Sus scrofa: one gene and its partner. The protein of the gene in region 1 interacts with the protein of each later gene in a pairwise test. Links are inferred from orthologs where the notes say so. Each region holds a gene or a part of one and is shown on either strand. Other genes may lie near its edges.

Region 1 (4,008 bases):
CCTGGTGGCCTGGGCCTGGGGTTCCTGACCAGCCTCCGGCCCAGGAGTCCAGGTTCCTGCTCAGTTCACTGGCTGCCGCTGGGCCTCTGGCTTTGGCGCAAGGCTGGACTATGGGGCGGGGTGGGGGGCGGGCATGGTCTTTAGAGCTGCCTCTTCCCTCCCCCTGCCCCAGGCAGTGTCCGGTCCCTCCCCTTTCCCCTCTGCTCTCTCCTCTTGCTCTTCTGGATTCTCACCTCTGGGTCCAGTCCTGTGTCCCCTCTTTCCAGTGGTCTTTCGCGCTTTGTGCTGTCTCTGTCTCTCCTTCTCAGTCCCCAGTGTCTCCCTATCACTGTTTGGGGATCTGTTCCTTTCACTTCTGCTTCGGCTGATTCCACATCCCACTGTCCTTCCTCCTCCCTCTGTCTCTCTGCCTCTCGTTGCCTCCTTTGCCTCTTCCCCTCTGGGCCCCGGTGTCTCTTCCTCTCCCTTTCGTGCTCCCACCTCTCTTCCCCCTTTCTCTCCTCCCCTTTCCCTCCGGGGCTTTCCGGTCAGGTTGCCCTTCCTCCTGTCTCCCCAGTGGTCCACCAGCTTCATAGGCTTCGAGAGGAAAGTCCTTGCCTGCCCTCATCTTCCCCAGCTGCCGCAAGATCATTCGCTCAAATCAGAGTAGGGAGCATCCTAGCCTGTCTCAGGCCTGCCCTGGACCACAGAGTGGGGGGTGGTCTGTAGATGAGCTCTCTGTACCCCCTGATGCCTCTGTGTCCCCATCAACTGAGGCCTGGCCGGTGGTCTGAGGGTTCTGGGACATTCCTATGGTGACATTTAGTGGCCAGGTATGGGAGGCGCAGACTGCCGCTGGGGACCCCTGGACCTGTGGACTCCAGACTCAGGCCTCTCTGGGGTTGGATGGGGATGGCAGACCAGCAGGGTCATGGTGCCCGCCTCTAGGAGGGCAACGTCCACCTGCTGAACCTAGCCGCTCACCCGCCCCATCCGGAGCGCCTGGCTTTGCCCTCGGGCACCCCCTGCGCTTTGCACACAGGGCAGGGACACCTGGATTTCTCTGGCCCCCTGAGTGGGGCCAACTTGGAGGAATTTCTCAAAGCCTATTAGAGAAACGCTGCCTCCTGCCTGCCTCCTCGAGCTGGGCAGGGCTGAGGGCGGAGGGAGAGAGGGAGGGAGGGGAGAGAGGAGGAAGGGAAAAAAAGTTGGCAGGCCGACAGCAGAGCTGTGTCTGCATCCATCGCTGAGAGGAGGCCCGTGCAGTGTGGGGCGGGCCAGGAGCAAGGAGAGGCCTTCCTCCCTTTGTGCTCCCCCCCCCCGGGGGGGCCCTATAAATAGGCCCAGCCCCGGCTGTGGCTCAGCTCTCAGAGAGAGGCGAGCACCAGGCAGCCGTCTCAAGCCAAGCCCCCTGCCAACATGGCCAGCGAGTTCAAGAAGAAGATCTTCTGGAGGGCGGTGGTGGCCGAGTTCCTGGCCATGACCCTCTTCATCTTCATCAGCATCGGTTCTGCCCTGGGCTTCCAGTACCCCGTGAGGAACAACCAGACTTCAGGTGCGGCCCAGGATAACGTGAAGGTGTCGCTGGCCTTTGGGCTGAGCATTGCCACGCTGGCCCAGAGCGTGGGCCACATCAGCGGCGCCCACCTCAACCCGGCCGTCACGCTGGGGCTCCTGCTCAGCTGCCAGATCAGTGTCCTCCGGGCTGTCATGTACATCATTGCCCAGTGTGTGGGGGCCATCGTCGCCACTGCCATCCTCTCAGGCATCACCTCCTCCCTGCCCGGCAACTCCCTTGGCCTGAACTCGGTGAGTGGGGTGGTCCCAGGCGCCGGGGCTCTAGAATGGTGCTGAGATGCCGCCGGTTTCATCCTCTGCCCACTGTGCAGATGGGGATACTGAGGAACAGAGAGGACGAGAGGTTGCTGGAGGTCATGCTCAGTTGACCTGGAACTCAGCTGTGCCTGGGTCCAGAGCCCTTTTTCTTCCAGGCACTGTGGGACACGGAGACCCAGAGCGTAATGGTCTTGCCAGTGTCCCCTGCGGGCCTCTATTATGGGAAATAAGCTCTGGAGGCAGCTAGTGGTTGGGCCAGCAGCTCCTCACCCTGGTTTCTTGCTCCCTTCCACCCCAAGCCCTCCCTGTGCAGCAGCTGCCTCCCCATGCGGCCTGGACCCCAGGGAAACTCTGTCTGCTGTCCCCCGCCTCCCTGCACCACAGGCCGGGCATGTGTGTGGGTCCGTGACAGTGTGAGCAGGACTCCCCTGGGGCTGCTCCAGCAGCCCCACATTCGCACAGGTCCCCAAACCAACTGCCTTGAAGGAAAAAGCTCCTCTTGCTCTTCTGGCCCCAGGTGGGGGACAAAGATGGGGGTGAAAACCCTGTCTGGACAGTGTGCAGGCGGTTTTCTTGGATTACAGCAAGGGGCAGGGGCGGGGCAGGGCCCTCTCACCCCCTCTCTGGGTCCATTCGCGGTGGCCGGGCACTGAGAGGTGTGGTGTGTGGGTGGGTGTGAGCCGTGTACGCGCATGGATGGCCACCCTCATGGGTCTCCGAGCCCATGGAACCTGGGCACTCCTGTGTGAGTCTTTTTTGGAAGCGTGTCTGTGTCTGTGAGCCCGTTATACTGCTGGGCAGGCATGTGTGGGGGCGAGTATGTGCCTGCGTGTGCCCACCGCTCTCAGACTAAATGGGGCCCGGCCTGGGGGCACTCAGGATAAGCAGATGTGGGTGACCCAGCGGCAGCTGCAGAAAAGAATTCCTCCTGGGCCGCTTAGCACAGCTAATTGGCTGTTGGCGGCAGTTGCCTGCTGTCGCAGACCTGGGCTTTTCCAGACCTTCAGCCAAGTGCAAACTCAGACCTGGCTTGGGCCACAGCAGGGGGAGATTTGGCCTGAGAGTCTGGGTAGGGCTTGGAGGAGGTCTTAGAACACCGCAGCCGAGGGGGCGTTGCCACAGGGAGGGAGCGAGGCCAGGGAGCAGAGAGAAGGGATCAGGTGGGGTGTCGGCTGGCAGGGCCTGGGCAGGGCAGGCGGGTGTGGGGACAGTAAGAGAGGGGCCAAGAGCCCTGCAGAGACCGCAGGGGGTGATCAGAGAAGCAGCTCTTGCTTCCCAGTCAAAGTTCAGCTCCTGGTGCTGCGGCTCGGGGAGGCTTGGCCAGCTCCGGTGCGGAGGGCAGCTGGCATGAGCCTGCCATGGAGGGATTAGCACTTCTTGTGCCACAGTGACACCTCACCCAACCCGGGGTTGAAGATTAGCCCTGTAGACTGGAGTTTAGACTTTAGTCGAGAAAGAGGTGGGCATGGTGGCTGTGAGGGACAGAGCTCCAGCAGGCTGCGTCCCTCCAGGTCTATCTCTCCAGCGGGGGCAGAGCCGGGCAACATCGGGGAGGGCCCGCCGGGTAGGGTTGGGATCACCTTGGGGCTTAGCTGGGCAGGATGGGCGTGGGGATAGGGTCCTCCTGGTGGGAAGCTGAGTCTCCCAGGCCTCTCGGCCCCCTCTTGACCCTCTGTCTCAAGGACCAGGCAGGCAGGTGTCTCTAAGCTGGCCATCCCAGGCAGACGTGGGAGGGCGGGCTCCTCTGTGTCATCTTGATCTGGCCACGCCCTCCTCCAGTGTCCCGTCCCCTCTCTGGCCTTCATTTTCCAGAGTTGCCCCAATACCTGAGCCAGGCGGGTGGCAGATGGGGGAGAAAAAGGGACAGCATCGTGTGGGGCCCAGCCTAGACTCAAGTCCTGGATCCTACCAGCTTGTTGGGTTTCCCCGAGGCTGAGAGCCCTGAGGCTCCAAGAGGGGACCTGGGTCTCTGGATATCTCCTGGCCACATGTGTAGTACCAGCATGCTCACTCTAGGTCTTGAGTTTATCACTCTTCCCAGGGCGGTCTGGCTAAGGGGAGCCCAAGAGGGGCCGTGCTAAGCATAAGGGCACTGAGCACTGTGGCGGGACCCAGGGCAGCCCTGTCCACACCGTGGAAGTTTGGGGTCTGGCAGGGCACAAACAGAGAAAGCATCCCCGCCAAGGGCTCCCG
Region 2 (4,016 bases), on another chromosome or scaffold:
GACTTCAATAAAGTAAAGAACCTTTGATAAAAATCGAGTCCTTTGCTAAGCCACACTCGCTTAACTTCACACCTCTTTGAACCCGCCCCCCCACCCGCGCCGAGACTGCATCCTCTAGGACCCCGCTGCTGCAGCTGTTTTATTCCTTAAAGACAGATTTCTGGTTTCAATCGTTCTCCTAAAGCGCAGGATAAAATAACGCGGGCTGGGGGTGACCGTGAAGTTGCAGGAGACTGGGCACGAGAGCCTCTCATACGGGGAGGCTCCCAGGTCTCCAAAGCGCCCGCGAAGCCGCGACCCCCGGCGCCCGAGCGCGAGCCCCCGCCGAGCCCCTGCGCGCCGTGGGCGCCGAGCCGAGGCGGGCGCGCGGGGGGCGGGCGGCCGGGGAGGGGCGGGGCCGTGACTCACTCGGTCGCGCGCCCGAGGCAGAAGCGGCACCTCCGGCCGAGCGGGGCGAGGGGCTGCGCCCGCCCTCGGGGCGCATGCGCGCTACCGAGCGGCTCCTGCTCCCTCCCCGCCCACCTTTCCATCCTTCCCCCCTCCCCCTCCCCTCCGTCCTCGCTTCTGTCGCTCTCTCCTCGCCCGCTGGGTGCTGAAGTTGGGCGGATGGCAGCAAACCGGCTCTGCTAGAGGACCGAGCAGCCCAGCCTCGCGCCCCCGGACGCATTGGTGCGCTGCCCACACCTCCAGGCGACTGGGTAAGATGTTGCCTCTGAAACCGAGCCGCGCTAAGTAAATGACATCAAAATGTCTGCTTTGCACCGGTGGTTGAATTTTTTTAGAGGTGGGGGAGTGCGGAGGTGAAGGAAAGAGGGGGCGGAGAGTACAACTGCCTGTGCTCTGAAGAGGGTGGCGGCCGGCTTGGGGGTCTCCGCTCAGCCCGCAGCACCGCGGGAGGAAGCGGGGGCCGAGCTGCAGGTTTGGGAAGTTGAATCCCGCGTTGTAGCCTCGGCGCGGTCCGCTTGTCGCCCTCCGGCTGCTGCGGACCCGCTGGGCAAGTGTCCTGCCCGCCCAGGGAAGGATCCTGCCCACAGTCGGGTCCTCAGCGGAGAGCTGGACGCCTCGGCGATTCGACAGGGAGGGCCAAGGGCGGCGGGAGACCCCGCGGGGCGCGAGGTCCTGCCGATTTGGGTGGCTGTTTGTTAGAAAACCGAATGTGAAATTAACAGTGTCCAGTCGACCGATCACCTCGGGGTGTTTTTTTTTTTTTTTTTTTTTCCTTTACCTTTGGGGAAATGCAGGTGAGGGAGGTGTGAGCCAAAGGGGGTGCAGAAATGCCTACCTTGAGCATCGGTAATACATCTGAGGTGTGTGTATTTAGGGGGTGGGGGCCTCTTTTGTTCTTTCCGCTCCTTTGGTCGATGGAGAGGGAGTTCTCGTGTGCTCGGCTTCGGGTAGATTTCACAGCCTTCGAGGGGGCGAGGAGGTGGAACGCCCACCAATCCCCCAGCCACTGCCCAAGGTGGGTGTATCCGAGACTCTCTTTCTGTAGGTGATGATGATTCTTTGTATAATCGCTAGAATTACGGTTTCATAGCTGCTTACTCGCCAGCCTTCCTCCTCCTCTCCCTCTTCATGTGCTGCGGCAGAGGCTGGGTGCAGACACTCGGCCGTTTCCTTTACTCCCTACCTCCCTGTCTCTGTGAAAAATGTCGGAGGACTTGAGGATGGCGGAGAGATAGGGCTGGCCTCTTCATCCTTAGAGAAGCCAAGGATGGGGAGGTGGTCCTCGCAGGCGGGAGGCTGCTGGCAGGGTGTCCCGGGCAGCCCAGTGCCGGCCTCGGGAATCGCTGGGCTTCAGAAGGCAGAGCAAGGGTCGCCTGTCCAAAAAGATGCCCGCGGTGTGGGGACCCGCCCTACTCCCTCCGCCTCCACCCGGGACACCCACTCACCTGGGACAATCTCAGTCGCTCTGGCGAGACTGACCCCGGCGCCTGGCATAGTGGATTTCCTAACCTCTCTGACCCTTGATAAAGGTTTCCTTCTTTAAAACAGTCACTCGAAGGTTTGTCTAGAGAACTTTGCAATCTTCCCGCAGTTGTTTCTTCTTCTTTTTTAAAATTGTTTTACAGCCGGCCTATTTCCTCCATGTGATGGCTATCGCAGGTAATAGAGAGAAATCTTGTAGTTGGATTCCCGCAAGCATTTCTGAGACTGAATGTCATCTGCATTTCCGGCGTTCATACATTCTGGTTTTCCGGGTGATGAACCCTCTGAAAATCATTTAATTGGAGAAACGAGAAGCAATTTGTATTCTTGTAATGGAAAATAATGTTTTTCTCCTGGTTTCATAGCTGCTTGGCATTATGTGTATTAAATACTTTTTTCAAAACTGTGAAACACTTTGGGTAAATTGTATTTGTTTCTAAAGTCCTTGGTGGTAACAATAGCAGGTCTCTATGAAATATACGTTTTGCACTAATATCTAATGGAAAGGTGATTTATACTCATTCATCAAATGAATGAGCAGTTTGACCTCTTCCACTTAAGTGACTGTTATCAAGCTGTTTCTTCTGTTAGCATGAACTAAAACAGTAATTAGCACACTCACAGGAGAGTAGATTTATTCACTGTTTTTACATTCTTAAAAACTGTATTTAGAGAAAACATACACTTTTTAGAGATGAGAAAACAAGTATTTGTTTTTACAAAAGGATTAGATGGTATCGTTGGTTAAATAAGATAAATCTCCATGGCAATGATACCTGATCTCAGAGCCATGGACAACTCATCCTTCCTCCTGAATTTGTGGTCTGAAAGATAAAGAGAACCTCCTACTTTACAGAGGTGTCTGCTCTTCCAAATGCTGCCCTTTTTGCTCTGGTTCCTCAACTGCTCCTTGGTGTTTAGTCTCTGTGGAAAAGAATTAACTAGGAGAGTTATCCGCTATTCCTGTTCAATTTTAAGTCATACAGCTTCTTCTTCACAAATAGATTCTCTCTCAGCTTTTAGGAAATTTTCCTACAGGGTCCTGACTTATTGGAACTCATAATGTTAGCGTCTAAGTCATTATCATTCCTCTGGCCTTGTTATACTTTTTGATGATGGTGGTGATGAAGATGGTGATGATGAAGACATGCCTGAACCTGTCTTACCATGAGGGCAAGGGGCTTTGAAAAAAGGGACAAATGTGTGTATCCTCATCCGTTTGACCTTATAACAGCCAAATCTAAAAACTAAATCGATAAAAATTTCGGTTGGCTCATAGACTAAAAAGTAAGAAAGCATTTACCTGCTAATTTACAGTTGTAGAGATAGTGGCCTTCCTTAGAAATCTATTTGCTGAAAGGCATGGGTTTTTCTGGAAAAGTGAAAGGTGGGAATGGACAAGGAGAAATGGAGCCAAGAGGAATGGAACCCATCCAACTGCGTTTCTGCTGAGAATCCTTTTCTTGATAGTCCAGCTCTGCTTAGTTAATAATGAAAATATTGCACCACCCAGAAAGGCAAATGCAAGGACCACTGTATACCCAGTGGTTGAGAATAACTATGTGAGGTTAAAAACCATTTTATTTCATCTGATTACTACAGGTCGAGTATAAGCACGGAGTCATTATAGAGACTTAGAATTGTGACATATTCAGGGAGTATCCTGGATCCTCAAAAATATTTTAAGTTTTTATGGTAAGCTTAAAGAAATAAAACAGTTCTGGAGTTCCAGTGTGGCTCAGCAGGTTAAGGATCCTGCGTTGTCACTGCAGTGGCCTGAGTCGATGCCGCGGCTCGGGTTTGATCCCTGGCCCCGGGAACTTCCACAAGCCATGGGCGTGGCCTCCAAAATAGATAAATATAAAAAAAGAAACAAAAGGTCCTTAGAGGTAGGTAGCCTGGACTTTCAGTGTTTGATCAATAGATACTCTGACCCTCCTTATCTCTTCCCATCTCCACTTATCCTTCAGAGACTGCCTTAATTTCTAAAGAAATTCATTTATGCCATTAATCCTGCTGTTTTGCTAATACCTAGCACAACTATCTGGCAAAAGGTAGGTGTTAAATCAGAATTTTTTTCAACGAAC

What was found. The genes of interacting proteins can lie anywhere in the genome.
Region 2: the proteins of AQP1 (region 1) and RGS17 interact in binary tests that used the Homo sapiens proteins (3 or more experiments, as listed by UniProt). The two-hybrid records come from large-scale screens. The link is inferred for Sus scrofa from reciprocal best matches to the Homo sapiens genes AQP1 and RGS17.

Annotation. Positions count from the first base shown.
Region 1 is NC_010460.4:42,073,942-42,077,949, reverse strand, and holds the start of AQP1 (aquaporin-1), read left to right. Parts: upstream 1-1,208; 5' UTR 1,209-1,398; coding exon 1,399-1,788; intron 1,789-4,008. UniProt on the Homo sapiens protein: Forms a water channel that facilitates the transport of water across cell membranes, playing a crucial role in water homeostasis in various tissues.
Region 2 is NC_010443.5:13,339,785-13,343,800, forward strand, and holds the start of RGS17 (regulator of G-protein signaling 17), read left to right. Parts: upstream 1-1,216; 5' UTR 1,217-1,274; coding exon 1,275-1,462; intron 1,463-4,016. UniProt on the Homo sapiens protein: Regulates G protein-coupled receptor signaling cascades, including signaling via muscarinic acetylcholine receptor CHRM2 and dopamine receptor DRD2.